2 linked regions of the Canis lupus familiaris genome follow. The protein of the gene in region 2 interacts with the protein of the main gene of each other region in a pairwise test. Links are inferred from orthologs where the notes say so. Each region holds a gene or a part of one and is shown on either strand. Other genes may lie near its edges. The genes, in order: USH1G and USH1C.

The links.
Region 1: the proteins of USH1C (region 2) and USH1G interact in binary tests that used the Homo sapiens proteins (3 or more experiments, as listed by UniProt). The link is inferred for Canis lupus familiaris from reciprocal best matches to the Homo sapiens genes USH1C and USH1G.

The regions. Positions count from the first base shown.
Region 1 is NC_049230.1:6,399,838-6,415,315, reverse strand, and holds the start of USH1G (Usher syndrome type-1G protein), read right to left. Parts: upstream 6,470-15,478; 5' UTR 6,309-6,469; coding exon 6,145-6,308; intron 3,683-6,144; coding exon 2,477-3,682; coding exon of another isoform or gene 2,473-2,476; intron 1,573-2,472; coding exon 1,569-1,572; 3' UTR 1-1,568. Other genes in the region: proton channel OTOP2, read left to right, coding at 7,784-8,096, 8,813-8,949, 10,316-10,374, 11,041-11,174, 13,336-14,294. UniProt on the Homo sapiens protein: Plays a role in pre-mRNA splicing by regulating the release and transfer of U4/U6.U5 tri-small nuclear ribonucleoprotein (tri-snRNP) complexes from their assembly site in Cajal bodies to nuclear speckles, thereby contributing to the assembly of the pre-catalytic spliceosome on target pre-mRNAs.
Region 2 is NC_049242.1:40,749,624-40,766,154, forward strand, and holds the start of USH1C (harmonin), read right to left. Parts: upstream 15,012-16,531; 5' UTR 14,895-15,011; coding exon 14,859-14,894; intron 8,039-14,858; coding exon 7,971-8,038; intron 7,230-7,970; coding exon 7,086-7,229; intron 7,006-7,085; coding exon 6,867-7,005; intron 2,009-6,866; coding exon 1,900-2,008; intron 1,766-1,899; coding exon 1,741-1,765; intron 1,541-1,740; coding exon 1,483-1,540; intron 1,181-1,482; coding exon 1,086-1,180; intron 1-1,085. UniProt on the Homo sapiens protein: Anchoring/scaffolding protein that is a part of the functional network formed by USH1C, USH1G, CDH23 and MYO7A that mediates mechanotransduction in cochlear hair cells. Required for normal development and maintenance of cochlear hair cell bundles.

The sequences.
Region 1 (15,478 bases), on a different chromosome or scaffold from region 2:
AGAGTCGAGTCGGCACTTGGGGGTGGCCCCAGGCCCAGGCCCAGAGAACAGGGAAAAGGACTGGGGTGGGCTCAGGGTGGCAGTGGCAGGCAGCCAAGCCTGCAGTGTGGAAACAGAAACCACCTCCACTGTGGCCCCCGCTCTGGACGCACACACAGACACGCCAGATGGAGGCCTGTGGCATTCTCTGGGGGTTTTCTTGTCTCCTGACCCGGCCAAGGGGGTCCAGGAAAGAGGTGGGGGCTGTGGCAGTGCTCCCATGGGAGCTGCTTCCCAAGCTGAGGGTCAGGGATGGAGGCTCATTGCTGACAGAGGAGGAGGGTGTGTGTGCCCACACATGTAAGGGGGCCCCTGAGTCTCTCCCCCACATCTGTGACCTCAGTCCAACTGGAAAACTGAGGACACATGTCTGAGGACCACCTGGGGCTGGCCTTTCTCCTGGTCTCACTGGTGTCATCACAGAGCAGGGACACATGCTGAGCTCTCAATGACCAACTACCCACGCAGAACCATGCAGCTGCCCCTCTGCCTCCAGACCCGGAGGCAAATCCATCCAGCAGCCCTCAACACACAAACATGCACAGAGACCCGGGGAGCTTAGATAATCGACATCCTCAGGCTCTTCCACTGTCCATATCACAGGACTGGCCCAGAAGAGGCTAGACACCCAGCCATGCCCAGTCTCCGCCTGTCTCTGGGCTGGCAGCCACTGAGGCAGTTGGCAGCTGCCTTTTCTCTACCCCAGAGCACGCCCACCAGGCCAAGGGCCCTAATACTGCAGCTCATTGCTCTAGCACCTTACATCTATTGCCCTGACCCTCTGGGGTCCATGGAGGGACCAGGGTGGAGGCAGGGTGGACGAGGGCAGAGTGAGGAGAGCAGAGTCAGGCTGGGCCCTGCCACAAGGTGAACTGGTAAGGGGGCCATTCACCGCCCCCTCACCCCGGCCTGGCACCCCAACTCCCCAGCATGTCCAGTAGGGGAAGGACACGGGGATGGGGGCTGGCTGTGCTTGGGATGGGGGTGGGGACTACCTACAGTCAGAGCATTTGGCTGAAGAGTCTAGCTAGGAACCTCCTCTCTAAGGTGTATGGGGGGAGGGGAGGCAGCCCAAACTCTTCCCTTCACAAATATGTAGGATATGAGCAAGTCTCCAGCCTGAGCACAACAACAGGATGCTTGGAGGAGAGTGTGGGGAGAGACAATGGCCCTTGGAACAGGCCATGCCCACCCCCCACACTCCCATTCAGCTCTAATGGGCATGTCATCTATTCCCTGGGGCCCCAGGGGTTCCCTGCCCTTCCTCTGGGGCTGGTGTCCCAAGAATCCACATGTCCTTTAGGGGCATTCGGATGGGTGTGGCTCAAGGGCTTCAGGACCCCTTGCTGGTACCTCCAGGCTACACCTGCATGTGGAGTGTGGACAGGCTTTCAAAGATGATCCACATGGTCTTTGCTCCTGGGGAGGGGCCGGGGGGCTTCAGGGCTGGCAACTGTGAGGACCTCATGGTCCCACGGTGGGTTGTGGCAACATGCAATTCATTTTGGTTTGGAGAGAGGAGCCCTCTGTTATCTGTAGAGAAAGACACAGAAACGGACTTCAGGTAAGGGCCTTCAAGACATCATTTTAAGACAAGATGAACCATTTGGACAACTAACCCTCTCCTGACAGGCTAATGGTCAGGGATGGGGACACTGGCCATCCCCATCCAATGAACTGTAAACCAGACTGCTTCCTCACACCCACTCCTGCCCAGCCATGCAGGGTAAAAGCCACTGACACCAAAAGGAGGCAACGTCATGTGCTGGGCTTGTGGGATGCCATGAGAAAGGGGTCCGCCCAGGGCCAGGCCACCAGTGTTAGCAGACTTGAGCTCCCCTGACAGCTTTTGAACCTGACAACTCTCCTCCCATGGGAGTCACCAGGCTCTAGAGCCACACAGACCGGGGATCAAGCCCAAGCTCTGCACCAAGCAGCAGCAGGACCTTAGGATGAGCTACTGCAAACTTCTGAGGCTCCAATTGTTCTCCTGGAAAATGGGGATGATACAGTCCCTGCACATGGGAGCTGGGAGGGACTCAGTAAGAGGACATGTGCAGGGGCATCTCTGGCACCCAGTAGGTGGGAGGGCCCAAAACGTCCTGGCTGTGATTACTCTGACTACTGTATCGCATTCACACTCATTTGGGGGCATTTTGAGATCTAAACGGAGGTGTTTTACATTTTACATTTTACATTTGCTGTGATAAGAAGGCCTCTTGTCCTCCTTAAATTGGCAGCCTCTTTTTCAGAGTTGGGGATGAACAAATTAAGTGAGGCCTCTTGTAATTGGTGGGGACTAAGTTTTACTAAATACGATATTACACCCCACACACACACACACACACACACTCCTGAAAAGGCAGATCTTCCCCTGGGGCCCCCTAAGGCCCTAAGGCCCCCATCTTCCCATCCACCCAAGGCTCAGGGCACTCACAACTCCGTGTCCTCCAGGGCTGGTGGGCGCTCCAGCGCCTGCCTCCTCCTCCTCACGGCCCCCAGAATCTTCTTGCGGGGCCCCAGGGGGACGCTGATGCTGCGGAGGTCAAGGTCGGAGCACAGCATCAGGGCCTCCAGGTCGATCTTCTCCTGCCGTAAGAGGGAGGTGAAGTCCTCCATGTGCAGGGAGGCCAGGAAGGTCTCCAGGGGGCTGGTCTCGGGCTCCAGGTCCTCATCCAGGCCCAAGTCCAGCTCGTCCCAGGGCAGCTCCTCCCCGCAGCTGCGGTCCTGCAGGCTGTTGGCACTGCCCAGGCTGTCGTCGTCCAGGCTGGGGGAGCTCTGCAGCCGGCCTCGCGGGGCGCCCTCGGCGTCCTCGCGGCCCAGCCCGTGCAGCCCGCTGCTCAGGTAGTTCCTGCGGAACACCATGGTGCCCAGGCCCGGGCGGGTAAACAGGGAGTCGTGGCCTGAGTCGGTGCTGACCTCCGAGTGGGCAGGCTCGGCCGCCAGCGTGGCACGGGAGACGCTGTCCTCATCCGAGAGGAACATGTCCCGGAGCGGGGAGCGGCCCCACTCCTTGGGGTTGGCGTAGGTGCCCTGGCGCACGAACATCACGTCGCTGCCCAGCTGCAGGCCCGAGAGCGAGCGCACGCTCTTGCGGCCGTCCTCGGAGATCTTGAAGGTGCCCTCGCCGCCCTGCTTGCGCCGCTCCAGCTTCCGCTGGATCTTGCCCTTGCCCCTGGCCGTGCCGTGCAGCGTGGCCTGCGAGTAGGGCAGCTGGCTGCCCAGCGCCAGGTGCTGCAGCCGGCGGCTCAGGGTGCTGGACGTGAGGCTGGAGAAGCTGAGCGCGTCGGAGCGCTCGGCCCGCTCGCGGCGGTAGCGCCGCTCCATGCGCTCGTGGTGCTTGCGCTGCATCTTGGCGCACTCGCGGATGCGCCGCTCGGCCTCGCGGAAGGCCTTGTCCTTCAGCTTGCCCACCAGCTTGGGGTTGAAGCTGCTCTGCTTGGCGGCGATGGAGTCCAGGTAGCGCACGCACTCCATGTGGCCCTTCATCGCGGCCATGTCCAGCGGCGTGTGGTAGTCGTTGTCCAGGCACCAGATGTTGGCCCCGAAGGACACCAGGAAGGACAGGCAGTGCAGGTGGCCGTTGGAAGCTGCCAGGTGCAGGGGCGTGTTGCCCCAGATGTCACACTTGTCTGGGTCACCCCTGCAGGGAGGACACGCAAGGAGGGGTGATGAACCCACGGCCGTCGGCCCTGGCTGCAGACGCGGGGAGCTCCAGGCCCGGTTGGGCGACCCCCGGGGGCGCACCGGCAGGACCCGAAGGCCCCGAGATGTCTCCTCTGACTCCTGGAGATGCCAGACCTACCTAGGGAGAGCCGGGGGAGAAGGGGTGGAGGTGGAGGTGGAGGTGGGGGTGAGGGTGGAGGTGGGGGTGAGGGTGGAGGTGGGGGTGGGGGTGGGGGTGGAGGTGGAGGTGGGGGTGGGGGTGGAGGTGGAGGTGGGGGTGGGGGTGGAGGTGGAGGTGGGGGTGGAGGTGGAGGTGGAAATGGAGGTGGGGGTGGAGGTGGAGGTGGAGGTGGAGGTGGGGGTGGAGGTGGAGGTGGAAATGGAGGTGGGGGTGGAGGTGGAGGTGGAGGTGGGGGTGGAGGTGGAGATGGGGGTGGGGGTGGGGTGGGGGTGGAGCAGAAATGGCCCCAGGCCCGCAGGGGGTGGGGCAGCAGGAAAGGCGGGGCCGGGGCGGGGCCTTCCCCAAGAGAACTGATGGCTGGGAATCTCAGGGGATAAATATTTGATGCCCAGAGAGAAAGGAGTGAATTATTCATGGAGCCCAGCGGGGAGCTGGCCCAGAGAGGTGGTGGGCCAGGGCTGTGTCTGGGTCTCTAGGCAGGCGCGGTGGTGAGTGTGGCTGAGGGTGCAGGGGTGACCTTAAAAAAGGACACAGGAGACTGGTGGGTGCTGAGCCTGAGCCCCGGGGGGGAAGGTGTGTGAGGGTGCGTGCCAGTGTGTCAGCGGGCACGGCCATGTCTGCAGGGAGCGGGGCCAGGCCTGGCAAGGCTGCGTGTGAGAGCAGGTGTCGGGTCTTGGCCTGGGCTGGGAGGGGAGTGTGGGGGCAGCCAGCACCAAAGCGGAGGAGGAGGCAAGTGTGCAACCTGGGCCCAAGAGCCCTCCCTTCCTGGGGCTGCCCTGTCATTGGGAGCCTTACAGGCAGGCTGGCTTGTGCCTGCCGAGGGGACCCACCCAGCATCTTCCCACATCCTCCACACCCGATTGTGCCCCTTGGGAGCCCGGCAGCTCCTCCAAGCTCTCCCCTCCCACAGGGGCCTGGCTCAGCACCTCTGCCTCACACTAATGAGGCCCTGAGGCCACCCCGCAGGGCTGGAGGAAGAATCATTCCCTTGTCTCAACAGCTTTCCCCACAACCCCCTCCTCATTTCCCCTACTGGTCGCCAAGTCCTGCAGGACAATGTGGAGAGGAGCTGCTTGGCATCTGGCCCACCCCCCTTTCAACATCAAGCCTTGCTCTCTGTAGGAGTTGGGGGGTTTGGTGCACTGGGAAGCCACCCTTTTCCGTGGACCTCTCTGATGGGAGGCAGGATGGCAGGACCGCTGTGTGATCTCTTGGTGCGGGAAGGGCCAGTCTTGGCTTCTTGGAACATGGCTCAGCACCCTGGTCTTAGGGCCTGCTCCCACCTGCCGCAGGCCTGAGGAGAGCCTCAGAGGGAGGACAAGGGGGTTCCCCACCACCACATGTTCAGGGCTTAAGCCAGCATTTGGCACCAGGGCCAGCTGGGCCCCTTGCCGTCCACTGTGATTTCCCAGGGCCTAAGACGTTCATATGAACCCTCCTGGGGCATGTCCTCCTGGGGGCATGCTTTCCACTCCTTTTCCCTGTCCAGGCTGCCCAGGTGTCCAGTTCAACCAGGTGACCTCTCTGTAGGAAACTGTGGAGGCTGGGGAAGCTGTCCACAGTGTCATTCAGCCCCAAGAACCTACATCAGTGGGCCTGGATCCTGAATTCCTCCATTGCTACCTTCACACCCCTTCCCTGGCCCTGACGCATGGACTCTATGCCCACTCCTCCTCCCAGACAACTCCTAAGGGCAGGAGAGGGAGCCCATTATGGGGGAGGGGCAGAGAGGGAGTTAATGAGGTGGCTGCACCCACTGACATTTGGTGCTGGAGCCGGTGCCCATAAATCCCAAGAATGAGCCAGGAGAGAGCTGAACAGGGAGGTGCAGCACTGGCTGGGAGAGCCCTCTGGCCCCGGGCTGGGAGAGGGCCCTAAGGAGCTTCACTTTGCACCACTTCTCCCCCTTCTCTTCCATCCCCACTATTGCTTCCTGGTGACACCCACCCAGGAGACCGATCCCACCTCCCCCTCACTCTGCAGCCCCTCCCACAATCATGGACCCCAAATCCCAGTCCCTCCCCTCCTAGCCCCTCATCCAGGTCACAAGTGTCACAAGCCTCGGGTTGTGCGGCCCTCCCACAGCTGCCAGGCTCCGGGGTCCCACCTTAGTTGGGGTAGAGAAGACAGGCGCTCAGAGGAGGGAGGCGGAAGATAACTTGGAGTCTTGGGGAGTGTGTCTCAGGGGACTGGAGGGGCCTGAAGACTCTCTTCCCCTTCGACTGGGGGGCTCGGGCAGGGACAGGGCGGGTACTCACCCCCGGCTCACGATGAGCCGCAGCGACTCCAGGTTGCCGTGGTAGGCAGCCCAGAGGGTGGGAGTCATGCCGTCCTCGTCGGGGGCGTTCAGCTCCTTCCTGGTGGCCTCTTTGAGGAGCTCCAGGTAGCCGTCCCGGGCCGCCCGGTGGTACTGGTCGTTCATGGCGCCTGACTCGGACGGGGTGGGCAGGGGGCACGGGGAAAGGCCCCCCGCGGGGGAGGGCGGCGGGGTTAGGGCTGAGGCATGGGGCTGGAGGAGGGGGCCGAGCAGGGCCCGAGGCCGCCAGCCCCCGCTGCCGCACACGGAGGTTGCGGAGCGCCAGAGCCTCCGCGGACATCTGAGCCGCGCACCCCGGGAGGGAGGGGGGGGTAGGATCTCCCGCCGCCAAGGGAGCCGCCCCCGGGCTGCCCCTGGGTCCTAAACACCCTGCTCCCGAGCGCCCCGGGGCGACCTACGCGACACCCTGCCCTCGCCCCAAAAGCGGTCACCCCAGCGCCCCGTCCCATGAGGTCCAGCCTGGGGACGGGCTGAGGTCTGTCCTCACTGGAGCCCCGGCTCTCCGGCTCCCGATGTCTCCACCCGTCGAAGGAAGGGGCCAAGGACTGGGCAGCGGTGTCTGCGGGCAGTCTGGATCCTAGGACAGCGGGCCCGGGACGGGGAGGAGGACTGCGCCCAGACAGCGACCAGCACCCGAAGGCCTGGCTCCAGGAGCCTCGGCCGCGCGGGGTCGGGGGGCCGCGCTCCAGCAGGGGGCGCTGGAGGACTGCGCTTGCTCCCGGAGCCCGCCTTCGCCGCGGAGCCCCCTGCGGGGAGGGATCGGGAACGAGGAACTTCGACCCCTGGGAGGGTGTCGGGGAAAGGGGCACTGGGGTCCCAGAGGAGCACAAAGGTGGAGGGTGCGCTGGGCCTGGAGGGCGTCGGAGTCCCTGCGGGCCCTTGGGGGTCTGCTGAGCATCAGCGCTCGCGGCTCTGGACGGCGGGGACCGCGGGCACCGCGGGGCGCGAGGGCGCGGTGGGCGCCAGGGGCGGGGTGCCCTCTGGGTGCCGCAGTGCGGGGCCGCGCCCGAGGTGACGGGACGGCGGGGGAGGGGGCGCCTCTTCACGGGTAAATATAAATCTTACCTTATCTGGCTCCCGCGCTCTCTTCCCTAAATTCAGCTCGGAGAAAAGATGGATCATGTGAGTGGGACTGAGAGATTTATGGAGCTGAGCTCCCGCGGCTGTAAATCACCCTGCCCTCCCCAGTATAAAGCGCCCGTACAGCCCGGTGTGGGGCAGAGGAGACGCTCGCCGCCCCCTGACCCCCGGCTCAGCGCGGGCTCCCGGACCAGCCAGGTGGGTGCCCGGGCCACACGGCCCACGGCCTGGGGAGCGGGGACGTGGGACGGGGCCCGACGGGGCTGCCGCCGCCTCTCCTGCGCTCCGTCGTCGAGGGAGAGGCCCCAAGGGTCCGCTTCTCCCTTGCGTCTCCCCAGCGCATCCTCCACCACCGCAGCCCCCACCCTCGGGGTGAGGAGCTTCTCCGTCCCTAAACCTAGGGATGGATAAGACAAGACGGCCGAAGGAGAGCGCTCGGGTTGACCTGGTGCTGTCCGCTCCTCCCCGCAGTGACCCTCCCACCTCCCCCGGTCGCCCCCATGTCGGAGGACTCGGCCCCGGGCCCCGAGGAGAGCCCGCCAGCGCCGCGGGCAGGCTCCCGCGAGGTGTGGAAGAAGGGCGGCCGCCTGCTGTCCGTGCTGCTGGCCGTGAACGTGCTGCTGCTCGCCTGCACGCTCGTCAGTGGCGGCGCCTTCAACAAGGTAGCGGTGTATGACACCGACGTGTTCGCGCTGCTCACCACCATGATGCTGCTCGCCTCCCTCTGGATCCTCTTCTACCTCTTCCGGACCGTGCGCTGCCCCGACGCCGTCCCCTACCGGGACGCGCACGCCGGCCCCATCTGGCTCCGAGGTGCCCGGGGAGGTGGTGGGGGGGAGTGGGGGGCAGGCGAGGAGCCAGAGGCTGCGACCCTCAGAGGAACTGTGGAGTGCGCCTCACGGTAGGGAGCTGAGAAATTGGGGGTGGGGGTGGGGGTGGGGGTGGGGGGAGGCAGATGTGGCTGAAGATGAGACCGGCTGCAGTTGAAAGAGAAGAGGAAGAGAAACAGTCTTGGGAGAAGAATGAAGTGAGGGATGGAGGACTTCTTTGCCTTTCCTAAAGATTGAAAAGGGATGGTCACGGGAGAGCCTTTGATGGAGAGCAGAACAGATGACCGCTGCAGCTGAAAGAACCCACCTAGGGCCCTTCTCCTGCCAATCTATGCCGCCCCAAAGACATAGGGGCTCAATAGGATGTCCGTCCATCCATCCACCCTCTCAGTCCTATACTCATTCTCCACCCACCCATTCATCTTTCAATCCATCCATTCACCCATCCACTATCCATCCATCCATCATCCAACTATACACCCATCTGTCCATCCATCCATCAATCCATTCATATAGCCAGCCAGCCAGCCAGCCATTTATCCATCCTCTCAACCACCCCATTCGTCTATCCATTGATCCTCCCATCAATCTTATTCATCTCTCCATCCAACCAACCATCCAACCAACCACCCATCTAGCCATCCATTCTCAGATCTATAAACCATCCTCTCTGACCCATCCTCCACCCCTTGTTCCCAGGTGGGCTGGTGCTGTTTGGGATCTGCACTCTTGTCATGGATGTCTTCAAGACTGGCTACTACTCCAGTTTCTTTGAGTGCCAATCGGCCATCAAGATTCTGCATCCTCTCACCCAAGCTGTGTTTGTCATCGTCCAGGTGGGTGGAAGGAGCGTTCTTGAGTGTGGTGGAAAGGAGCCAACACCTGACATGAGGTCAGGAGATCTCCACTCTTCTACCTTGAGCAATCAAGTAACATGGGGATAAGACAGTAGCATGGATCACCTGAATCCATAAATCGGAAAGCACTTGGTAATGAATTTTTTTTTTAAGATTTATTTATTTATTCATTCAGAGAGAGCGAAGAGAGAGGCAGAGACACAGGCAGAGGGAGAAGCAGGCTCCATGCAGGAAGCCCAATGTGGGACTCGATCCTGGGTCTCCGGATCACAAACCCAGGCTGCAGGCGGCGCTAAACTGCTACGCCACCAGGGCTGTCCCTTGGTAATGAATTAATATCCAAATGTGAGCTCCTACTTAGGGGTCCCGTGATTTCATTTCGACCAAAGCAGTGCCAGTATCAACATCTAGGATGTCTGAGTTGTGGCAGCTGCCATGCCTCCTAGAACCTGGCTTGCCCTCCCTGAGTGCCTGTAGAAGGCATCACTTTCAGCCCAGGGTCCTGCTGTGAGCATGGCTGGTTAGGCTTCAGCTATTATCCATATGTTCTATATTTGTTCAGGAAATAGGGTGTCCTGTACCTGGGATTTTTTTCAAACAAGTTCAAGTATATTTATTTTTATTTGTTGCAAACATAACACTCTGAAAGATCTTCTGATTGAGCTGAGGCAGGACTGGTCTTACATGGAACCAGAACAGATCTCAGCCCTCCACCATGACCAGAATGACCACACATAGGGTTCCCTCTCCTGAAACATCACCCCCAATGTGTGGATTTCCATAATTCAACACATTCGTGACTTTGGTACTTATGAGAGCTTTACTTTTTTTACATTTTACGGGTTTGAAGAATACTCAGGTGAAATGAAAATACAGACCCCTTTACATCACCAAATACCATGACAAGGATTTGTTGGCAACCAGGTGAAGGTTGCAAGGCAACAAAGGATGGGGATGGGGCAGGGGATATTGCCAAAGGGAGGTGAGAAGCCACCAGAGATTCTCTCTTCCTTGGACAAGACTCAGGCTGGCCTCACTCCTAGGAATAAGTAACTAGACAGTCAAATTTCTACCTGGGGGAAAAAAAAAGAACAGCAACCACAACAGAAAAGCATCAAGAGTTTACACGTAACATTTTGCAAACTCTGAAAGAAGAGAACTATTTTATACAAATTGTTTCATGGAGAGAGAAAGCTCCTGACTCATTTTGTAAAGCTAAGAGAAATGTGGTAGGTTGGTAAGGCTCTTGAGGTAGAAGGAATGTACTGTGGGGTTTGGACATGGGCACTCCAGAGTCTGGCCCATCTGCAGAGTGAATGACCTCCCCCACTCTCTCTCAACACAGACTTACTTTCTCTGGGTCTCCGCTAAAGACTGTATTCACGTCCATCTGGATCTGACCCGGTGAGTGCTCAACATCCATGCCCACGGAGCATGAGCAATGAGGGCTTTCCAACCTAGCCTGGGGCTTCTTTCTGTACCCTGGGTGGGGTTTCAGCCAAGGCCCCTTGGCTCTGTCAGCCTGATTCCACCACTCTATGCTGTGTTGTGTGTACGTGTGTGCCGACACACTCATACCTATGTGTTTTGGTGGGATGGGTTATATAGTGCACTGTACGTGCTTTCTTTCTTTTTTTTTTTTAAGATTTATTTATTTATTTATTCATGAGAGACACAGAGAGAGAGAGAGGCAGAGACACAGAGAGAGAAGCAGGCTCCATGCAGGGAGCCCAACGTGGGACTCAATCCCGGGTCTCCAGGATCACACCCTGGGCTGAAGGCAGGCACTAAACCACTGAGCCACCCAGGCTGCCCTATATGTGCTTTCCTGTAGGAGAGGGAGCAGTAGTGGCCTGAGCCCCTGGACACCCCCCTGGCCCTCTCTTGGGTGGCATTCTGGCCAGACTAAGTGTTCCTTCCAAACTCAGCCTCTCTGCTTACACAGGGGGCCTGACTGCTTTCTTGCCTCTCCACATCATCTCCCAGTATAGCTCCCCAGCTATCCATCTCCCCAGGGACCCACAATAGGCCAGACACTCACTGGCCTCTTTGCTTCCTCTCCCCAAACAGGTGTGGTCTCATGTTCACCCTCACCACCAACCTGGCCATCTGGATGGCAGCCGTGGTGGACGAGTCCGTGCACCAGACCCACTCCTATGATAGTTCCCACAGCAACACCAGCCACCTTCGCCTCGCTCCTGACCGTGAGTGTCCAGTTCAGATTAAACCTGGTCCCAGGACTTCCAGGCCTTAGGCGGGGTGCTTGTCTCCCTTGCCCTCACAAGAAAGGAGAGCCTCCTGCTCCAGACTCTGTCTCTGAAGACAGAGTAGGTCACACCAGAAGGAGGGTGCCAGGGGGCATATCCTCTTTCCAGAGGATGTAGCCTTGGCCCCACTGTTCAGGACTCCATCCCACCAAAGAAGGGATTTGAGCTCCAGGATGAAAGGGCGAGGGTGATCAAAGTGGAGGGAAGGAAAGGGAAGCAGGTAGAGTGGCTCAATGGTGGAAGCATGGGACAGAGTCTGGGAAGGAGAAGGTAGAAATAATAATCACAATGATAATAGTGACACTTTTCTGAGCTCTGTATGTCAGGTGCTGTGCTGAGTGTCCTAAACACTCTACTTACTTAACCCTCACAACTTCCCAATGAGATGGATACTTTTTTTTCTTTTTCAGTGAGAGAGAGAGAGAGAGAGAGAGAGAGAGAATGTGTGTGTAAGAGTGGGGACAGGGGAGGGGCAGAGGAAGAGGGAGAGAGAGAATCTTAAGCAGACTCGGCACTGAGCATAGAGCCTGGCACAAGACTCAATCTCATGACCCTGAGATCATGACCTGAGCCGAAATCAAGAGTCTGAGGCTTAACCAACTGAGTCCCAAAATGAGTACTATTAATATCTCCATTTTACAGATACAGAAACTGAGGCCTAAAAGGTGAAATAATTTGCAATATTCACAGAGCTACACTGAAGAATAGAGTCCACAGGCTCCCTGGGCCAGTTCTCTGGACTTTGGTAGCTCCCCCGCCCCACCCCACTAACCAGGTCCAGACTAGATGATTATGTACATATGGATTTTGTCCAAAGACACACACATACTCAGTGTGGAAGTGTCCAGGAATGGCAAGAATGGATCAGTCTAGCAGGACTGATAAAGGGTCACCTTGCACATACAGAGGGCTCCTGATGATGGTTAAAAACCAACCTGGAGGGGGCACCTGGGTGGCTCAGTCAGTTAAACATCCAACTCTTAATTTTGTTTTTGTTTTTTTAAGATTTTATTTATTTATTCATGAGAGACAGAGAGAGAGAGAGGCACAGACACAGGCAGAGGGAGAAGCAGGCTCCATGCAAGGAGCCAGACGTGGGACTCGATCCTGGGTCTCCAGGATCACACCCTGGGCTGAAGGTGGTGCTAAACTGCTGCGCCACCCAGGCTGCCCCCAACTCTTAATTTTGGCTCAGGTCATGATTTCAGGGTCATGAGATCAAGCCCCAAGTTGGGCTCTGTGCTGGCTGGGCATGGAGCCTGCTTGAGATTCTCTCTCTCTCTCTCTCTCCCTCTGCTGCTCCCTCTGCATATACATATGCTGTCTCTGCTCTCGCTCTCTCTCTCTCTCAAACAAAACAAAACCAAAAAAACAACCCAGAGTGGTGGCCAATTTAATATGGGATACTGGGAAGGTACTTGCCCTGGGGTTGGGAGCCAGGTCAATAGCTCTGCCATTACAAGCCACTTTACGTCAGTGAGCCTCAGTTTCCACATCTGCAAAACCAGTGGGAATAGTTCTGGGGATCAAAAGAGATGTTTGCCAAGATCCAAGACATTCTATAAAGTGCACTCGGGTCACAGGACAAGATTGCTACAGGTGTGCCACAAACCAAAATGACGGGAGGTCACACGTGGGCCAAGCAGCTCACCTTCTGGGCTGAGTCAGATGCTGGGGAGAGCTGCGAGGAAGCTGGAATTTCCAGGGTTCCCAGGAGGACCACCATCTATCGAGACCAGAACCTCACCTATTTTGGGGATCCAGGGATGGTTACTGGTTGGGAAGGATTGGAAATGTCTGCCTGAAGGAACGGAATGGGATGAAGCGGCCAGAATGTGCGGTTCAGGCTTTTGTTTATTGAGCACTGACTACTGTTTACTGATGTGCCCCGGTCTCTGGCGCACAGTGGGTGCTCAGTAAATCCCTGGGGATTGAGTGAGCCAGCCGGGCCCTGTGCGAGCACTGCGGGATACGGTGGTGAGCATAGCAGACAGTGATTCCACCCTAACAAAAGTCACAGTTGAGAGGTGAGGTCCTTCAGATGGGGTGCCTCCAGGAAGGTGGAGGGCAGTCCCACTCTGTGCCCCTCTCTCCACAGCGGAGCGAGCGGGCAGCTCGGTTGGAGGAGACTGTTCCTGCAACACGGCCATCTGCCAGATTTTCCAGCAGGGCTACTTCTACCTGTATCCCTTCAACATCGAGTACAGCCTTTTTGCCTCCACCATGCTCTATGTCATGTGGAAGAATGTGGGCAGACTGCTGGCCTCCTCCACCCACGGCCACGGCCACACCCCATCCCAGATCAGCCTCTTCCGGGAGACCTTTTTTGCTGGCCCGATCCTGGGCCTGATGCTCTTCGTGGTGGGGCTGGCTGTCTTCATCATCTACGAGGTCCAAGTGAGTGGGGAGGGGAGCCGCCCCGAGCAGGCCCTGGTCATCTACTACAGCTTCAACATCATCTGTCTGGGGCTCATGACCTTGGTCAGCCTGAGTGGCTCAGTCATCTACCGTTTTGATCGCCGGGCCATGGATCACCATAAGAACCCCACTCGAACCCTGGATGTGGCGCTGCTGATGGGTGCCGCCCTGGGCCAGTACGCTATCTCCTACTACTCTATTGTGGCTGTGGTTGTGGGCACACCCAGGGACCTACTGGGGGGGCTCAACCTAGCCCATGCTCTGCTCATGATTGCCCAGCACACCTTCCAGAATGTGTTCATCATCGAGAGCCTCCATCGGGGACCACCCGGGGCTGAATCTCATGATACCACCCCCAAGGAGTCCTGCCATGGCCTTACCTTTGCCAACGCGGATGCCCTCCACACCTTGCCGGCCTGCCCACCCACTCCCAGGCTGGTTGGCACCAGCCATGGCCTTACCTTTGCCAACATTGATGCCCTCCACACCTTGCCTGCCTGCCCACCCACGCCCAGACTGGTTGGCACCAACCCAGGGGGACCTCAGGAAGCAGTGGCCATCATCTTGGCCCCCAGGAGCCACTGGAGACGCCGGTGCCTGAAGGACATGTCTCTGTTTCTTCTGCTCTGCAATGTCATCGTGAGTAACTGGGGGGTGGAAGAGGAGAGATGGGGAGAGGCTGAGGGGGAAGATAAGGCCAAAGAAGGATGTTCTTGGCCTTCTCTGTCTTGTCCCCAGCCCACTTGAGAATCCTACAGCTCTCTAGGAGAGAAGCAGGTTCAGAAAGAGTCAGATGTAGCCCCTGGGCAAACAGCATCTCAGGGCACAGAGAGAGAATGAAATCCCAGCCTTCTGGCATCTAGGCTGCAGATGGAACTGGAGGGCTCCTGGGGAATGCTGACCTGGGGGCTGGGCGGAGGTGGCAGGGAGCTGTGAAGTGATGTGGAGGGTGGGTGCCCTCACCCCTCCATGGAAGGTGTGACTGCTCCTGGGAACTTGTGACCAGCTTGCTTCTCAGAATAATTGGAGCAGCATCAGGAAGTAGCAGAGACCAACATAAGTGTGAGCACTCTCAGCAGAGTGCGGTGGAGGGCTGGCCTGGAAGGGGGGCATTCACAACAGCGCCCCCTCCCTGCTAATTCGGCAGAACCGCTTACTAAGAGAAACCCCAGCACTAACGCCTTCACCCCAGGGCAGAAACACTCCCTGAAGACACACACCCCAGTAAAAGAATACCCCTCATGTGGCTACATCCCAATAGAGAAATGCTCCAGTGTAGATAAAATCCCCAGGGGAGAAATTTCTAATATGCAAACATTGTGCCCATGTGAGTGCATCCCAAATAAAGAACACAGCTCTACTGAAGTTTAACTCAATATAAAAATATAAAAATAGCCCTTTTAGCTATAGTCTCCAACAGGAAAATATCCCTAATATACGAACAAACACGCTTAATGCGGGTCTATCCCGATGGAGAGCACATCTCCAGAGTGATTCCACCCCAGTGCACACAACATAAAATACACCAACAACCCTGACTTGAGTGCACTTGTAGTGTGTCCCCACTGTAAATACTGCCCAACCGACCGGTAATCTGTTAATAAAACAGGGGGGCAGGGACGATCACCAGTTTCTGACCCTCCAGCAGAAGCAATAAGGCTCAAAACCTCTTTATATCTTGGGCTAGCCTGGAAGCCCACATCAGCCTGGCCCTGCCCTCACCTTCCCCTGGGGGTGGGGGGGCATGCCTGCAGGCTGGGAGCTACCTCCTGGGAGGCTGGTTTCGCTCCAGGTACCTGTTCCTGGGTCAACTCTAGGAGCAT
Region 2 (16,531 bases):
TCCCAGGATCACAATCTGAGCCGAAGGCAGGCGCTTAACTGACTGAGCCGTCCAGGTGCCCCTTCCTTATGATTTTCTTAACAACAGTTTCTTTTTATAATATGTAAAACACAAAAGATGTGTTAAGCAACTGTTAATGTTATCAGTAAGGCTTCCAGTCCACAGTACACTATTAGTGAAATTTGGGGAGAGTCAGAAGTTTATACATGGATTTGGGATGATGCAGGGGGTCAGCGCCCCTGACCCTTGTGTTGTTCAAGGGCCAACCATAGTACTTGAGGCCGCGACCACTAATTGATTAGAAATAGCACAGTACGGGAGATCTATCTGCCATCTCTGACGCAAAACACAACTCCAGCAGAGCGCTTGCCACTCTACGCTGTAGCTCTTCAGCGGCTGGCTTCCACATTCACTGTATTCTATCTTGTAATCTCTTAGGAAGGAGGGACTTTATACCACTTATGCTTGGCAGAAAAGTGTTAAATAAATGTGAGTGGATGGGAATAATTTGAAAAACTTAATAACAGCTGACGTTTAACAGCTGCTCACTACCTACTAGGCACGAAGCTGGTACTTCTGTGATCTCCTCCGTCCTCACAACAACTAGTTTTGTGGGGATCCTAGGCTCAGAGTGGCTAAGCGACTAGTCCAAGGTTCTAGAGCTCATAGGTGCCAGAGCAGGGGCTGGAAACTGCATCTATAACTGTGGCACCTGTGTGCTTAATAAGGCCACCCCACGTGGCCTGATGCCTGTTTGCAATTCCCTGGCTGCTACTGAAGGAAGCCCACAAGGTAATAAATGACCAGGGAACCGTAACAGAGATCATCACTCGGACAGGCTCCTTTTGCAGTGACTGAAGCCCACCAAAGGAATGTGGGTCTGCTTTTGGGCTTCAGCTTCGTCATCTGTAAAATGGGCCTGTTAAAACTGTCCCTCTGGCCTTGGAAGGCTGTTGTGAGGCTCAGAAATCAGGCGCCGAGAAGTGTCATCTCTTCAGAAGCAGCAGTGAGAGAGGGGGAGGGGCTTAGGGGTGTACTGGGGTCTCTCAGTCATGAGTGACCCTCAGGGAAGGCCTGCCACCTACCTGCAGCCAAGGCCCCGGGATCCCACAAGGCTGATGAAGACCTTCTTCTCCTTGTTTTCCCGACTGCCGGGGAAGCTCAGGGTACTCCGCCCACCCTGGAGGAAGTATGAGATAAGGGTCACTGGGTGTCCAAGAGGCTCTTGATTTCACAAAGCCCTTTAGAGCAAGCACCGCTATCCCCACATGAGACTGCTCACTGATATATCCCTGGGGGGTATGTCTGCACCAGCTGGACCTGGCTGAGGGCCCAGCACCCTCAGGGACCTTCTGGATGCCCTCGGAGCCTGTCTGAAGCTCCTGAATGCACATCTCTGGGGCAACCCTCCCTTTGGGACTAGCTGCCCTTCCCTGAAGACAACCCCATCCAAACCCCAGCACAGGTGGCCCTGACCCTTACCTCGGATTCTGACACAAACTGATCCACGTACTGCCATTTGAGGGGTTCGTCAGGAGAGCTGGTGGGAAGGGGAAATAGAAGAGCAGTCATTAGAGAGAGATGTGTGAGGAGCCAGGCTCCAAATCCAGATCTGCCCGTCTGGAGCCTCCAGCCACCTCTGGCCCAGAAGCAGTGCTGGCCGGGCTGACGCCGGACCCCACAGCCAATCCCAGGACCCTGCGCCCACAGGGAAGAATCGCAGAGGAGGGTCCTGCTCACCTCTTCACAGGAATCAGGCCAATGTCTGTGGGAGAAAGGCAAGGCAGTTAGCACGGCTCCTATGCCCTCCCTTCCTCCCCCAGGAGCCAGGGACCCCGCTGCCTACCCCACCCTAGCCATGCCCCCCTCGAGTGCCCCCTGCCCTCTGGCCTCACTCACGTCTCACTTTGATGGACACAGTCTTCTTGGTCCTGATAAGGTTGATGACCTCCTCGTGGGTGCAGGAGGAGATGGAATATCCGTTGATGCGCACGATCTCATCCCCTACCTTGGCCACAGACGGAGGGAATGGGCACCAGGTTGAGGGGGCCTCAGGCAGCTGGGCAGGCTTGCCCCAGATGCTCTGGGCCTGCTCTCCGGGAAGAGGGACGCTGACCACACCTTCCCTCAGAAGAAACCTTGGCATGGACCCTAGTACTTTGTTATAACCAACGCACTCTCCATTAGTCTAAAGGATCCCATGGTAGTGACACTTCCAAGCAGTCTTTCTGACCCATTTTGCAGATGGGAGCACCAACACGGGAGGTGAAAGGCACAGAGAGTGGGCAGCAGAATGGAACTAGAACTCGGGACTCTGTGCCCTCATTTCAGTGCCCCCCTTTTTAAAGATTTTATTTATTTATTCATGAGAGACAGAGAGAGAGAGAGAGAGAGAGAGACAGGCAGAGGGAGAAGCAGGCTCCCTGTGGGGAGCCCGATGTGGGACTCAATCCCAGGACTCTGGGATCATGACCTGAGCCAAAGGCAGACATTCAACCACTGAGCCACCCGGGTGCCCCTTCAGGGCCCCTTTTGCCCCACTGGGTCACCATCAGGATCTGGAACCCATGCAAAGGACACCCCTTCACCTAGATTCAAGCAGCTCTTCCTTGGCCTTTGCCCCACCCCGCCCCAAGGAGCAAGCTCCCCAGTCTTTGTTAATCACTGTAACGCCGTAAGTGAGTCAGGGCGGGGAACTTCTATGATTCCTGATTCAAGTTCGCATCACTGACACACATGCAGTTTCTTTCTTCCCACCCTGTGGAAGCTCAGTGGACATTTTAACTCAGCCACAGCCCTGGCCTCTGACCCCCATGCTGGGCGAGCAAAGAACAGTGAATAAACACAAGGCTTTGGTGTCAGATGTCCTGGCTTCAAAACCCTGCTTCTATTCTCATTAGCTGAATGGTCTTGGGCAATTCTTTTTTTATTTATTTTTTATTTTTTTTATTACTCAAAAAAAACTTCATTATTTATTTAGGTTTCTGATTCTGTGCTTGTGCCTTCAAGACTTTCACAATGATTTCCTGCTCTTCAATAGGGAAAGCATGCTTGATCCTGTCAACAAACACACAGCACACATGGAACCACCATAACCCCTGCTGCTGTGTTTCTTCATTTTAGACCTTTTAAGAACTCTAGGTACCTGGGCACCCTGATGGTGCACTTGGTTAAGTGTCTGACTCTTGGTTTCAGCTCAGGTCATGATCTCAGGGTCATGAGATCGAGCCCCACATCGGGCTCTGCACCTAGTGAGGACTCTGTCCCTCCCCCTCTGTTCCTTCCCCATGCTCTCTTGCTCTCTTGAATAAATAAATAAATAATCTTAAAAAAAAAGAACTGTAGGTGTCACAGCACAAACTCCTCAAAGCTGGCCTGAGCACATGCCACATGCAGAGTTTGGTGCTTTCCTACTCTTCTTGGTCTAAAGGTAAATGATTCTATTAGCAGGGGTTCAGAGCAGCCTAGTTTTGTTCAAGGCTGTGCTATAGGATGGCCTACAACTGTGTGTCAAATGCTGGATCATTCTGAATGTCTATGGATGCTGTCCCCAGAAGAGGAAAAAGGACCTTGTGCAAGTCTCTTGAACCTTCTGAACCTCAGTTCCTCTCATCTGTAAAATGGGGAAATGTTCTGGTTGCTTCGAGAAGTGCTGGCCTACCTGTACATGTAGGCCAGCCAGCACCTGGTATACCATCAGTAATCAATAAATGGTCATTATTGTTATCATTAGTTGGGTCCAAGCCCTAAAGACTCCTGCTCTCTCTGCAGGACATCAAGCCTCATTGGATCAGGAGAGACAGGGGCTCACGGGCCTGCAGGGCCAGCCCTGGATACAGAGCTGTGGTGAGCTCATCCCCTGCTGGATGCTGCTGCAGGTCCCTCCAGGTGCCTTAGCTCTGGGGATCAGTCCCGAAGCTCTTCACTTAATAACTGCAGGGCTAGAGGGACCCTCAGTTATCAGATGAAACTGTGGCCCAGGGAGAAGATGTTATCTAAGGTCACGCAGCCTGAGCTGCAAAACAGGGACTGGATCCTGGGTGCCCCTCTCCAGCTTGAGGCCAGGCCAAGTCAACCGGCAGCTTAACTCACACCCCATGTACTGTCCCTTTGGGGACCTGTTGGTACATGTAGGGGACACAACTTGACTCTGTGGGGTCTGGGAGCTGGGCAGGCACGCAGCCTGTGAGGGGTTCATCTAGGCCAACTCCCACCCTCTCAACATCCCAACAGAGTCACCTTTTCGATGTTATCACCTCAATGTTTCCCTTACACACCTCCACACACCCCAGTCCTCTTAGGGGCCTGATGAGAGTGGCAAGGGACTCAAAAAGACACCAGAGAGACGGGCTTGCTAAAGACCTCTCTAGGTTTCTAGGGACATCTCGTGTCAGGAGAGCGGCCAGGCTAGCTCCTTGTACCCACATTTTACAGCAACTCTATTTCTGTTAATCAAATGAGGAAACTGAGAATCAGAGAACAGAATGATTTGCTCAGGGCACCTGGGTGGCTCAGTGGTTGAGCGTCTGCCTGCCTTCGGCTTAGGCTGTGATCCCGGGGTCCTGGGATCGAGTCCCGCATTAGGCTCCCTGCATGGAGCCTGCTTCTCCCTCTGCCTGTGTCTCTGCCTCTCTCTCTCTCTCTCTTTCATGAATAAAAAAAAAGGCAGAGACACAGGCAGAGGGAGAAGCAGGCTCCATGCAGGGAGCCTAATGCGGGACTCGATCCCAGGACCCCGGGATCACAGCCTAAGCCGAAGGCAGGCAGACGCTCAACCACTGAGCCACCCAGGTGCCCCTAAATAAAATCTTAAAAAAAAAAACAAAAAAAACAAAAACAAAAGTCATTTGCTTGAGGTCACCCGGTTGGTAAACAGTGTTGCCGGGATTTGAAGTCAGGTCTCCCCTACAGACAACAAGTTTTGTCTCTTGGGCATCTAGAAGCAGAGAGGGAGGGCACCTGGCCAAGCCTGGCTGCAGTTCCCTACATCCTGTCCTCTCTGGATTCCTGCCACCTGTCACAAGTGACCTCAAGTCCCTCAGGAAAGGCAGAGATTACTCTGTCCATTTTACGGCTAGGACAACCAAGGCACACAGCATCATTCTCTAGCCCGGGACTGCAGAGCATGTGGTACAGTGTAGGCGGCCCTGTGCAGAGCAGAGGGCAAAGCTTCAGACAAGACACACTTGAAAAAAAATCTAAACTATATCCAGTAGGTGGACAAAACAGATCAAATCAGCAGGTCCTTCAGTCTAGCCAGGTTGTGTCTGAACATGTCCCTCCCCTGCCTTCCAGAATCTTCTCCTGTCTGCAGATCTCAGGCATGAGATCTTCCCAGAAACATGAACCTCAGACAGGTGAATGGATGCGGATGTTGTCCCCAAGCTCCTATGAGTGAGGTTCCCTGTGTTGTTCCTAAAAGGAACCTGTTTGGGACCCCAGTCAGAATGATTCCCATACAGCCCCTGGGGCTCAGGCTACCTGTATCAGCTTTCCTCTCTCTCGCTCCAGCGTAGAACCGTGCAAAAGGCCCTTTGTGCAAAGGCCACAATGAAATGACGATCTGAGGGACGGGGGCACAAAGGACAGATGAGCCCGGCAGCCCAAGAAAGAGAAGATAATTTATAAGCCTGAGAAACAGGTGGGAGGGTAGACTTCTGAGTTGCATTAAAATGCCCCGATGGCCCCAATAGGCATCGTTGAGAAATGCCTGTCCTAGTAGGAGAGCTCGCCCTGGAAAAAAAGAGGGCCTCTGTCGATGCTGAGAGAGGAGCTCATTATGGTTTTTTTTTTTTTTTCCTCTGGCTGTGTTTCTGGGCTGGAAAATGTGCCCCACAGGAGAAGAGTAATGAAGTGGCTGAAATTTCAGCCGCCACTGGCGAGCCGTGAGACAGGGATTTAGAACAAAGCAATGTCTGTCCGCTCCCACTTCTGTACCGTAAGTCTTTGAGCCCCCCAAAGCCCCTGTCTTGGCAGCCTGATAACAAACATGCTGGCAGCTTTGAGGTGGGGGGGCTGGAAGGGTCTCTTCTATCTGGACGCACGAAAACCCAGCTCTGGGCTCCTCCAGCAGGAGCGAGATCTGGAGGTCAGCCCATCTCTGCTCATGCACAGAGGTGTGGGACCCCGAGGGAGAGGCACCCTGGGGTGCTGAAGACAGATCCCTGGGCCTGGCAGTCTGGAGACCTGGGTTCAGGTCCTGACTCGGCCACATCCTGGCTGTGACTTTACTCAAGTCTGTTAACTCTGGAAAATGGGGATGATATCATGAGGACCAGTTGTGAGCACGTCACCTGGCACAAAACAGGTGTTCATTAAATCTCCCTCCCTGCTTACCTAACGAACACTATGTGCTGGGCACTTTTGTTAGTACTTTAGGATATGAATCCACTGTCTCCTCATGACAACCCGATGAGGTAGGGAATGCTATTGTTATCCCCATTTTATAGATGAGAAAACTGAGGCATGGGGTTAAGTAATTTCTTCATAGTCCCATAGCTCATGAGTTGCAAAGCCAGGACAGTCTGGCTCTGGGGTCTATGCTCTCAAACACCACACTACAGTGGGATTTCCTTCTCCCTTCCGGTGAAAGGCTACACGGCCAGAGCTTCAGGTGCCAGGAGGTAACTACGCTCCTCCTTTGGGAAGTAGGGGGGGGGGGGATTGCAGCAGCCAGGTTCCCAGCTTGACTGAAGAAAACAGGCGGCTGCCCGCAGCCTGATTTCTATGGGCCTGAGGAAAATCTGTCAGGATGTGTGGGCCTCTTCCTCCCCCAATGCCTCAGAAAGGCGAGGCGATCCCATTGTGAGGGGAGGCAGCAAGGCCGAGGCCCTGACCCCTTGTTCCGCGGGACTCTGCTCACTCACCTGGAGCCCAACGCTGTCAGCCTGACCGCCTTTGATGAGGTGGGAGATGAAGAGCCCGCAGCCAAACTCGAGGCCCCCACGAACACTGAGGCCCAGGCCTTCGGGGTGCAGACGGTCCAGACGCACCTCCTTCAGCTTCCTGCCATGGGAGGAGCCAGTGATGTCCCTCCCCGGTGACCTCTCCCACCCCTGCCTCTATCCTGGTGGCACCATCTGTACCTGGAGCGCCGGGGGGTCAGTTGGTCGTACTCCACCTGGTGCTTCAGCGGGATCAGGGGTCTGATGGCGTCAAATAGTGGCAGGCGGCTAGGCTCATTGATGACCAGCTTCAGGTCTCCCACGAACACGGCCACGTCCATGGTTCTGCAGAGACACGGGGAACACAGGGAGCCTCATCCATGGCCACGGCCTCTGACACCCAAGGATCCCCAGAGGAACTGGTCCCCAGCTGGGTCCTCACCCATTGAGTCCAGGCCTTGGAAGTGGAGAGAACGCTCCTGTAAAGCCCAGAGCCCCTAATTCTGGGCTAGGGGCCTCATGAGAGCTTCACTATTCCACATTTAATGTCACAAGGAAACAGGCCAGGTGGGGATTGTTAACCCAGTCTACAGATGAACTCAAGTCAGGATTCAAACTCAGCTCTGCCTAATTCTAAAGCACAGGATCTTTCCAGCCGGGAAAACTCGTGTGAGATGCTGGTGACCCCTCTCGAACCCTGGTCCCCACTTCTGCGCTACAGGTAAGCTGCCCTCACAGTATCCCTCCCATGACTCCTCCTCACACCTCTCAGACCCTCAGCATATTCGGCCTGCACTTCTCCAGCTGTCAGCCGGCCTGCTCATGCCTGTCTGATATTTTCTAAATGTATGTCACTCCCCTCCTCTAAACCCTTCAATGGCTCCGCACTGAGTATTTGTGTACGTATTTGCTAAGGCAAGTGCGTGGCATGTCCATGTGATTCCCAGGAGCATTGAGCGTCTGCCCCTCTCCCAGAGCCCCCAGGATGGGAGGGAGAGGTCCTTCCATCTCAGAACATCCAGCCCAGAGTTTCCCGGAGGCAGAGGTACCCGGCTGGTCCACAGGAGCTGGACCCCGCACACTTACTGGTGATACATCCGCAGCACGTCATACAGATAGTCCTTCTCTGCATCATTTTCAATCAGAAAATCCACCTGGAAAACCCAAGGGGAGAATTCTAACCCCAGGCCCAGCACGTCCATAGCAGATGCCAGGGGAGGGGTAGGCCACTGCCATTCCTCAGCATGTCCACAGGGCTGGGGCTGCGAGAGGAGGGCAGTCAGGGTCCTCTGACAGTAACACATCAGCCACATGCAGATCACCCTGATGCCACCAGAGTACTTGTGCACATCCAGATGTGGCCAGGCTGAACCTCTCCCCCGGGTGGATGCATAGTCAGATGCACACGCATGACCCTCCACTTGACAGCACAGTCCCGAGTGGCAATGCCAGTGTCAGCAACCCGGTCTGGAAGGAGCCCATCGTCTTACCTGATGGTGGCTATAGTGCCGGATAACCGCTTTCAGAAAGGATTTGGGCCACTCGCTCAGATAGCACATCCCACCCTCTGGAAGCACCCTACTGTCCTCCTGTATCACCAATGCCAGGGGCAACTCCACCCCATCCTGTCCTGGCCTAAGCTGGGTTGGCCCCGACTTCTGTCCACTAGTCAGCCTCCTGACCACTCCTTCACCTCTCCAGGTCCCTTCTGTCCCCCGCTTCCCCCCCAAGGGGAGAGTCAAGTTACATCATTTCAGGTTTGCTGACGTCAATGGCTGGGACTCCAAGGTCAAGGTCAGGAGCTGTTTCATTAGCACTTCAATCCCAAGGGACCTGGTGGGTAGAGGAGCCCCAAATTCCACTCCCTGGGACAGTGCAGCGTGAATCTCTATACATCATATCCTTGGCTCTCTCTCTTTAGCCTAAGACTGAGTAAGAGGGCAAGAAGGGCCTCAGGCTGGGAGGCGGGTGAGGAGGCTCTGAGCTATGCATGGTCAGGAAATACTCTATAAGAGTGGGCTTGGACTCCCCTTAAATGAAGGCAGCCTTCAGGTGCGAGGAGGCAGGGCAGTCTCGCATGAGTCTATGACCCACTCTTTTGTGACAAGATGGAAGTGAGCTAAGAGGGACAGATCCAGAAGGGCTGTGGCAGATGTGTGCTGAGGAGTGATGGGAAGGTGGTGACCCAGGGCTGAGCTAAGAGGATAAAAGGAAGGCTCTAGACTAGAGCAACTGGAGTGCGTTCATCACTCAGCAGGCACCACTGGGCACTGTGCGCCTCTGCGGGCTGCTGCTGCCGCAGACTACAGCATGCCAGGGGCCCTCCCTGAGCGCCAGGTAGCAAGAGAATGGCACAAAGTGCCCTAGAGCAGGGGCTCCCTGAAGCCAGTCCTTGCACTGCTCCTTGTCGGCTCGTTCAGGTCCTATTGCTTGCTGACTGCCAACCGTGTCTGAGGAGCTTTACGTGAATTATCTTTAACCTTAGAACAAACCTCTGACGTGTGTGGATATTATCATCCCCATCTGATAGATGAGGAAATAAGGGTCGAAAAAGCAACAGAGCTGAGACTCCAACTTAAGACCGCTGCCTCCAAAACCTTTGCCTTTTTTCTAAGGCACACAGAGTATCTACTTGGTTCTATCCAGATAGAGATTTTTGTATGCATTTGTCTAATACACCAAAACCTTTGCCTTTTTCCTAACCACCACATAGTATCCACTTAGCAGATAGAATTTTTGGATGCACTTGTCTAATACGTATTTACTGAGCACCTACTGTGTGCAAAACACTGTATCTTCTTTTTGTAATTCGATTTAAAAAGCTTTTCCTTTTCAGGGTGTCTGGGTGGCTCAGTCAGTTAAGCATCTGCCTTTGGCTCAGGTCATGATCCCAGGGTCCTGAGATTGAGCCCCCAGTCATCTACCCACCCCCCCACCCCAGCCCCAGTTTGTGCTCTGTCTCTTGTGCTCTCTCAAGCATGCTCTCTCTGAAATAAATAAATAAAATCTTAAAAAGAAAAGCTATTCCTTTTCTTGGATCGCTCTTGGTAGGGGCAAAGAAACTCTAAAGGAGCCCACGATCTGCAAAGATTTTACCACTCAATCCCTCCTTCCCCGCCCACCTTGTGTCAGGTCCCCTCCAACCTGCATCAGCATTCTCGGGCTGATGCTCAACTGGCCCTCTACTACCGGTCTGTATGAGGGGGATTGGGATTCAGGGTCCTTGTCTGGGGCCCTTGAGGCAAAAACTCTGGGTTGAGCCTTGGGCCCTTTCCAGCCTCATTCCCTGGCATTCCTCCCTATGGACTGACCCCTTCAGGACAGCTGCACAGGGGGAGCAAACAACATTCAGCTCATGCAAATACAACTCCACGTGTGCACCCAGCCAAAGAGCGAGAAAGAGAGCAAGAACAAATTAAATAATGCATGTTGTTCCACTCGATGAACATCTGCCCTCCTCAGGCTGTTGTGGGGATTAAATAAGTGAATATAGACAAAGGACTTCAGACGGTGCCCAGGGCTCTCAGATCTCAAGGGTTCTGAAATGTACGCTGCATCTCTTCCTCGGTGCCCCCAGACCCACTCTGCAGCCTTCTCCACCTCTCTTTACCCTCTCGTCTCCCTGCTAATCTGTGTGTGGCCCAGACACAGGCCCGGGAAGAGTGCACAGGGTGAGGCCAACAAGCCCCTTCCTCACCTGGGTCTGTACTTCTCTGTGCTCCATTCTCCTCATCTGTAAAATGGGTATAAACATACCTCCTCCATAGGATTTCATCCTTCTGTGAGGGATTAATCACTGGGGTTTTTTTATTATTATTTAAATTAATAATCATTAAGTGCTTGACACAGTGCCTGGCAAATAGTAGTTCTCAGTGTTTGTCAAATAAAACTAAGTGGGAATAAATGAATACAGACTCTATGTTCTCAGCAGCTGGCAGACTGTGGGCCCTCCAAAAATGTTGATGGGATGGGATGAATGGATCCAGCCACACTTCCTCTCAGGCCTTCAGAGCATGCATCCTGGGTAGTACTGGGTTTGCTCTTTTCCTGTTTTATTATTCTTCATCTTTTTAAGACACTTGTGTCCTGCTAGCTAGCTGGTGGCACTTGACTCAGTGCTCAGCATGGCTCACCATGCCCTCCTTCTCTGCTTCTCCTATCTCATTTGCTGTTCCTTCCCCATTTCCTCTCCTCGAAAGGTTGGAGTGCCCTGGCTCTGTCCTGGGCCTTCTCTTCATTTGCATCATGTCCCTAAGTGACCTCATTGGTCTCCAGGGTTTGAACGATCACTTATCCTTCAAGGATGCACTGAGGCTCCAGGATAGACTTCTTCCCGCCATCTTCAGACTCCCATAGCTACTGGCTCAATGGTTGACCAGGCATCTCAAAACATTCAAAATGGAACTCTTGGTTTCTGCTATCTCCCCTCTTGTCCCCATCAGCACGCTCCTCCCAAAATGTAGACTCCCTCTCAATGCCTCTCTCCACACCCAGAGCCACCCACCGTCAGAGCCTGTCAGATCTATCTTCTCCTGAATTTTCTGGGTCTCACCACTCCTCATGCTAGTCCAAGCCCTCACCTCCTGTCTCCTATCCCCCTTCTGCTCCCGGCCCCCTCAGTCTCCTCTCTACCAGCACTCAGAACAACCCCTTTTAAACGGAAAGCCATCCCCTCATGGCTGCCTTCCCATCGCTGGAGAACAAAACCCAAAGTCCTGACCGTGGCCTACTGAGCCCCCACCACACTCTATTCAATCCATAATTCCTCTCAGAAACACCATCCCACCTGCTGTTCCTAAAGCCAGCAAGCAGACACTTGCCTCAGGTTATTGTTCCCTCTTCTTGGAATGTTCTTTCAAATACACCCCCAAGGCTCCTTCCTTACTTCTTTCTAGATTCAAGGAGACCTTTCTGACGCATCTGGTTGCTCTCTATCCTCTCATCTCAGTTTATTTTTTTTCATAGCATTTATCACTACTTTGCATTATATGATACTTGCATTGGGTTACTTGTTAACTGTCTGTCTTCCTGACTAAGGAGCCAGGGACTCTGTTTTATTGTTCAATGATTAGAGTACTGCTGGGCATAATATTAGGAGCTCAGTCAACGTTTATGACATGCATGCATGTATGATTAGCAAAACACTGGAAGGCAGAGGCTCTTTCTGACCTCCTCATTTATCCCCTCTTTCTACCCCCAGGTGCCTGGCTGGCCTCGGGCAGGGTAAACCACGGATATCCATAAATGCATGATTGCTAACTAGGCAATAAAGCCCTTTTGGGCAAATGAGTAACCAAATTCCTGAAACCTGCAGGTGCAGTGAGCAGAGGGGCAGCCTCCTTCTTTTGAAAAGCTGGTTCTTTAGGGAAGAGCCTTAGTCTCTGATGCTGCCCTTCCTTCTCCTTGGTATCCTGGCCCAAGGCTGTTGCTGGGAAGGGCATGAAAGTGCTGCCGGATGTCCTGGGGAAACTGCATAAGCCCAGAGGAACAGACTCTCCTCCCCAGCCTGGAGCCTGCTGGCACATCCACCAGGGTGCTCAGCAGGAATCTCCAGGTGGCTGTGGACCAAAGGGTTACTTATAGGTCCTGAGTAGCTGGTCCTTGAATTCCTACTTAGTCCTAATCACCCCCTGAGGTAAGCACTGTGAACCTCATCTCACAGCTGAGGAAACGATAGCCCAGATTAAATGACTTGCCCAAGGTCTCACTGGCAGTGAGTGGCAGGGTTGAGATTGGACCCCGTTCTGCCTAACATCAGATAATAACAACAGCAGACATTCGTTGAGGACTCACTAAACTCCCTACGTGCATGTAGATCTCCTCCAACACTCACAAGGGCTTTATGAGCTAAATATTATTATTATCCTCATTTAACAAATCAAAGAGGCACAGAGAGGTTAATAACTTGCTCGAGGCCACACAGCACATTCCATGACAATATGCCACTTTTCATGCTACCTCCAACAACTAAAGATTTAGGTCATAAGCCATTCCCAAGGGGTAAATGTGCTCTGCAACACCAAAGGAGGGACAGCTAGAGAGCAATGGGCAGGAGCAGTAAATTTCGCCCAGCATGGCTACGTGCCCCCAGCTGTAGCCTCTGCCGCTTTGTCCTCTCTCCCCAGTTCCTAGGTGATCTCCAACCTGGGAGGGGAAGGCTGCTGCTGTCTCGGAAGCAGCAGGGCACAAAGTCCAGCCCAGGGCCTTGCCCAGCCTGGTGTCTGCCCCGCCTGCACACACAGGGACATTAATAGGTAATGACTCCTGTGATGAGGAAGAGCAGAGCAGTGGAAATACAGAGGCCTGAGGCCCGCTGGAGGCTGCAGGGCCTGGAGAAGAAAAACAGAGGCTAACCTCAGGGTGCAGTCAGACACCACGGACCCCAGGGGTAATTCTCCAAAAAGGGGCAAAGACTAGTACCCATAGGGAAAAAACCAATGAGGACCTGATGTTACCTTCTTTCTGCCCAGGGGCAGGAAACTGAAATTCAAGCCTGAGTCTTGGGGGAGGGGACAGAGGTTGGGTTCCTTCAAAGTGGGTTGCCTGAAACCTACACTCACCAAATGTCCTCAGCAGCTGAAATTTCTCTTCTCGTGTCCCTGTGCAACAGGATGCACAGGTGAACCCTGTCTCGTGCTCCGGTTGCTACTTGCCAGTCCCCAAACTCCTGCTGAACTTCCAGCCATCTCTCACTCTTAGAAATCCCCAAGGCCTCTTTTTTTAGGAGACTCATGGCAGTAGAGCTTCCCCTTTTGTACTCCACCAAACCTCGACCCCCACACTCAGCACCCAGCCATAGCGTAGGGTCCCTCTCTCACCTGTGCAGCCAGCAATTCCAGGGCACAGAGGAGGTCTGGCACAGAGTGGGTACTCAAAATACACTTACTAGATGAATGACTGCCCCCTGGCACTTAGCTCCCGTGGCCCACACATTGGCTGGCTACTCTGGCTCCCCTGGGCCTCTCTCTGTGGGGAGAGAAGGGTTAAGCACCCGGACCTTGCCTACCAGAGCTCGGCTTCCTCAGGCCTCAGAAGAGGTTTGGCTTGGTCTAAAGACACTGCCCCTCTGGGCTCTGTGAGGGCCTCAGGGCACACAGTCGTCTCAGGTAGGGCCTGTGGGTAGCTCTAGACACCCCTGGCTTCACCCTTGAGCTCTGAAGCATTCTGAGTCCTGGTGGGGAGGTCCACTGGGGTTACTGCCAGTGGTCCTCTCTCACTTCAGGGCCTCAGTAGCTCCTGCACAGCTCTGGAAACAGTTCTGGAAATGCCCTGGGTGAAATCCAGTAGCTTTCAGTGAGAGCCTCTGAGAATCCTGGACCATCCCTGAGGTCTCCTATTGGGACACACCAGGGGAGCTGTAGCTCTCTGTCTGAAGACTCTGGCTGACTCTCTGTACTTCCTTCTTTCCTCCCACTGCCCCCTGGTCAGCACCAGTTCCTCACCTGCTTCTCAGGCCCTAAGAAATGCCCTGAAATGGGGAGGGGGCTCCCTAAAGTGCTTCTAGCTCGTTTTCTGAGGTCAAAGGACAGAGACAGAGGACCACTTTCCCTTCCGACCAATCCCCACCTCTCAGACACTGTCCCATATCCTCTGCATATGCTCCAACAGCCCTGAGCTTGGGGCACTAGGAGCTGGGATTTGCCCACTACGGGGCATTTCAGAGAAGCTTCCTGTCTCAGGCCAAGCTGGAAGGAATTCCAACACCAGAGAAGCCCCAGCCCTCGGAAGCGCAAGGAGAAAGAATACTTTTTGGAGATCGGTTCACGGGTTCCTACACCTGGAGTCCTCCTGCCCCCTCCCTTATTTTACTGGGGATCCCTGCTGGAAACCAAACCACCCACAGGGGTCCCAGTCCATCCACAGCCCTGAGGCCGGGCTAGAAAAGGGAGGGTAGCGCGGGGCACGTCCATCCCCCCACCGCCCAGCCAGGACTCCGGGGTCCTGAACGCTTTAGGGGCCCCTCGCAGCTCTGACCTTGTGCCGGAATTCTCGAGCCACCTTCCGGTCCATGGCTGGGCCAGGCGGAGCCGCGTCGCCCGCACAACTCGCTCCTTCGGGCGCCCGGAGGCCCCAAGCCGGCAGGAGCCGCAGCGGAGATCCGCGGGCCCGGGAGCGGGGGGGCGGGGCCTGGCGCGGTGGGCGGGGCCTGGCGCGGTGGGCGGGGCCTGGGCGGGGCCTGGGCGGGGCTGCTGGGACGCCCGGGACACCTGTCCTGAAGCTTGTCGCCTCCCACCGACACCCCGAGCGAAGGGTCTGGAGTGCGTGGGTGTGTGTGGTGGTGGCGGCGGCGGTGGCCGGACTCGAGGCCCGGCGCTCCCCTCGGACGGGTCTCCAAACACAAGCAGTTGGGGGACAGGATCTCGGGAAACGTGGGGAGGAGGCTTGGGACTTTTTTGTAGGAGGAGGTCCTGAGACTCTCACAAGGGTGGGTAGGGATAATCCCTGGATCCGCAGATAGCGGGCCATTGGCTCGGCCCCTGAGGCTTTCACCCCCTGCCGGGCATCCCTCTCTCAGCCGACCTACCCTCTATAATGGCCTTCTCCACGGGCTAATTCCCCGGAGGAGGAAATCTTTGATCTGCGAATTCCTTGGGGCCGGGTCTAAAGCGCTCACAGAGGCCTGAATCAGTGGGGTAGCCGTATCCCTCCGGAACTGACTTCCCCTCCCACCTGCCTAGCCCCACCCCACTCCACACACACACACACACACACACACACTCACTGAGACATGGAAGGGCCTGGCAGTGACATCTTGATTTACTGCTGACCTTTACCCAGGGCTCAGATCCCATCTGGTTCATTTGAGTCAATTCATCCAGTTTGTTCAACTCCTAGGTCTAGTGCTGGAGTGTAAAGACAGTGATGAACCAAGTCGGGGACAGACTGAGAGGAAAGAGGGGGTCAAGAAAGGGGCGTATGGGAGAGAGTGGGGATCTTTGATCAGGGGGCTTGTGCCTGGATTTAACCCGGGGGGGGGGGGGTGTTTGCACCATGTCAGGGGGCAGGGGACAGGGAGATGGACAGCAACCCAAAATAGTGAACCACTTACAACTGTAACTTCAGGGACACCTAAAACCCTCCTGTTTTTCATCTTATCTCTAGTATCTGAAGTTTTGCCAACAGACTTATTTTTATTGGGACTAAATTGTCACCTAGTTTAGGATGTAAATCCTTCCTGGAGAAAAACCTTGAAATATTATCCATGTCCTCACCTTAGTATTAACTAGTTAAGTCAGAGATAAAAGGGGAAGACTTGTGGGATTTTCAAAGGTCCAGGAAAGACACTCAAATATGTTCCCCTCCAACTTCCTTTGTTGATGTTCTGCGTCTCTTAACTAAGTCGTGTGGCTGTTATTTCATAGTTGGAATCCAGGCAGAGTGGCAAATGGCCTTTCAAAGGGGATGCAATCCATGGGCCACTTCAATCGTTTTCCATGACCACCACCCTCATAGACTCTCTCCTTCTTTAAATGCTTCCCCTCTTGGTTGTGGGGACTGAGTCAGAGCTTTCCTCTCCTATGAATGTTCCTTTTCAAGCTTCCTCTGCCCTCACCTGTTCTCTAACCAGGGCTTGTTACGTTTCCATCCTTAGCTCCCTCCCCTTCCTCTCATCTATGCCCATGGCTTCAAATACTCTGTGAGGGGCT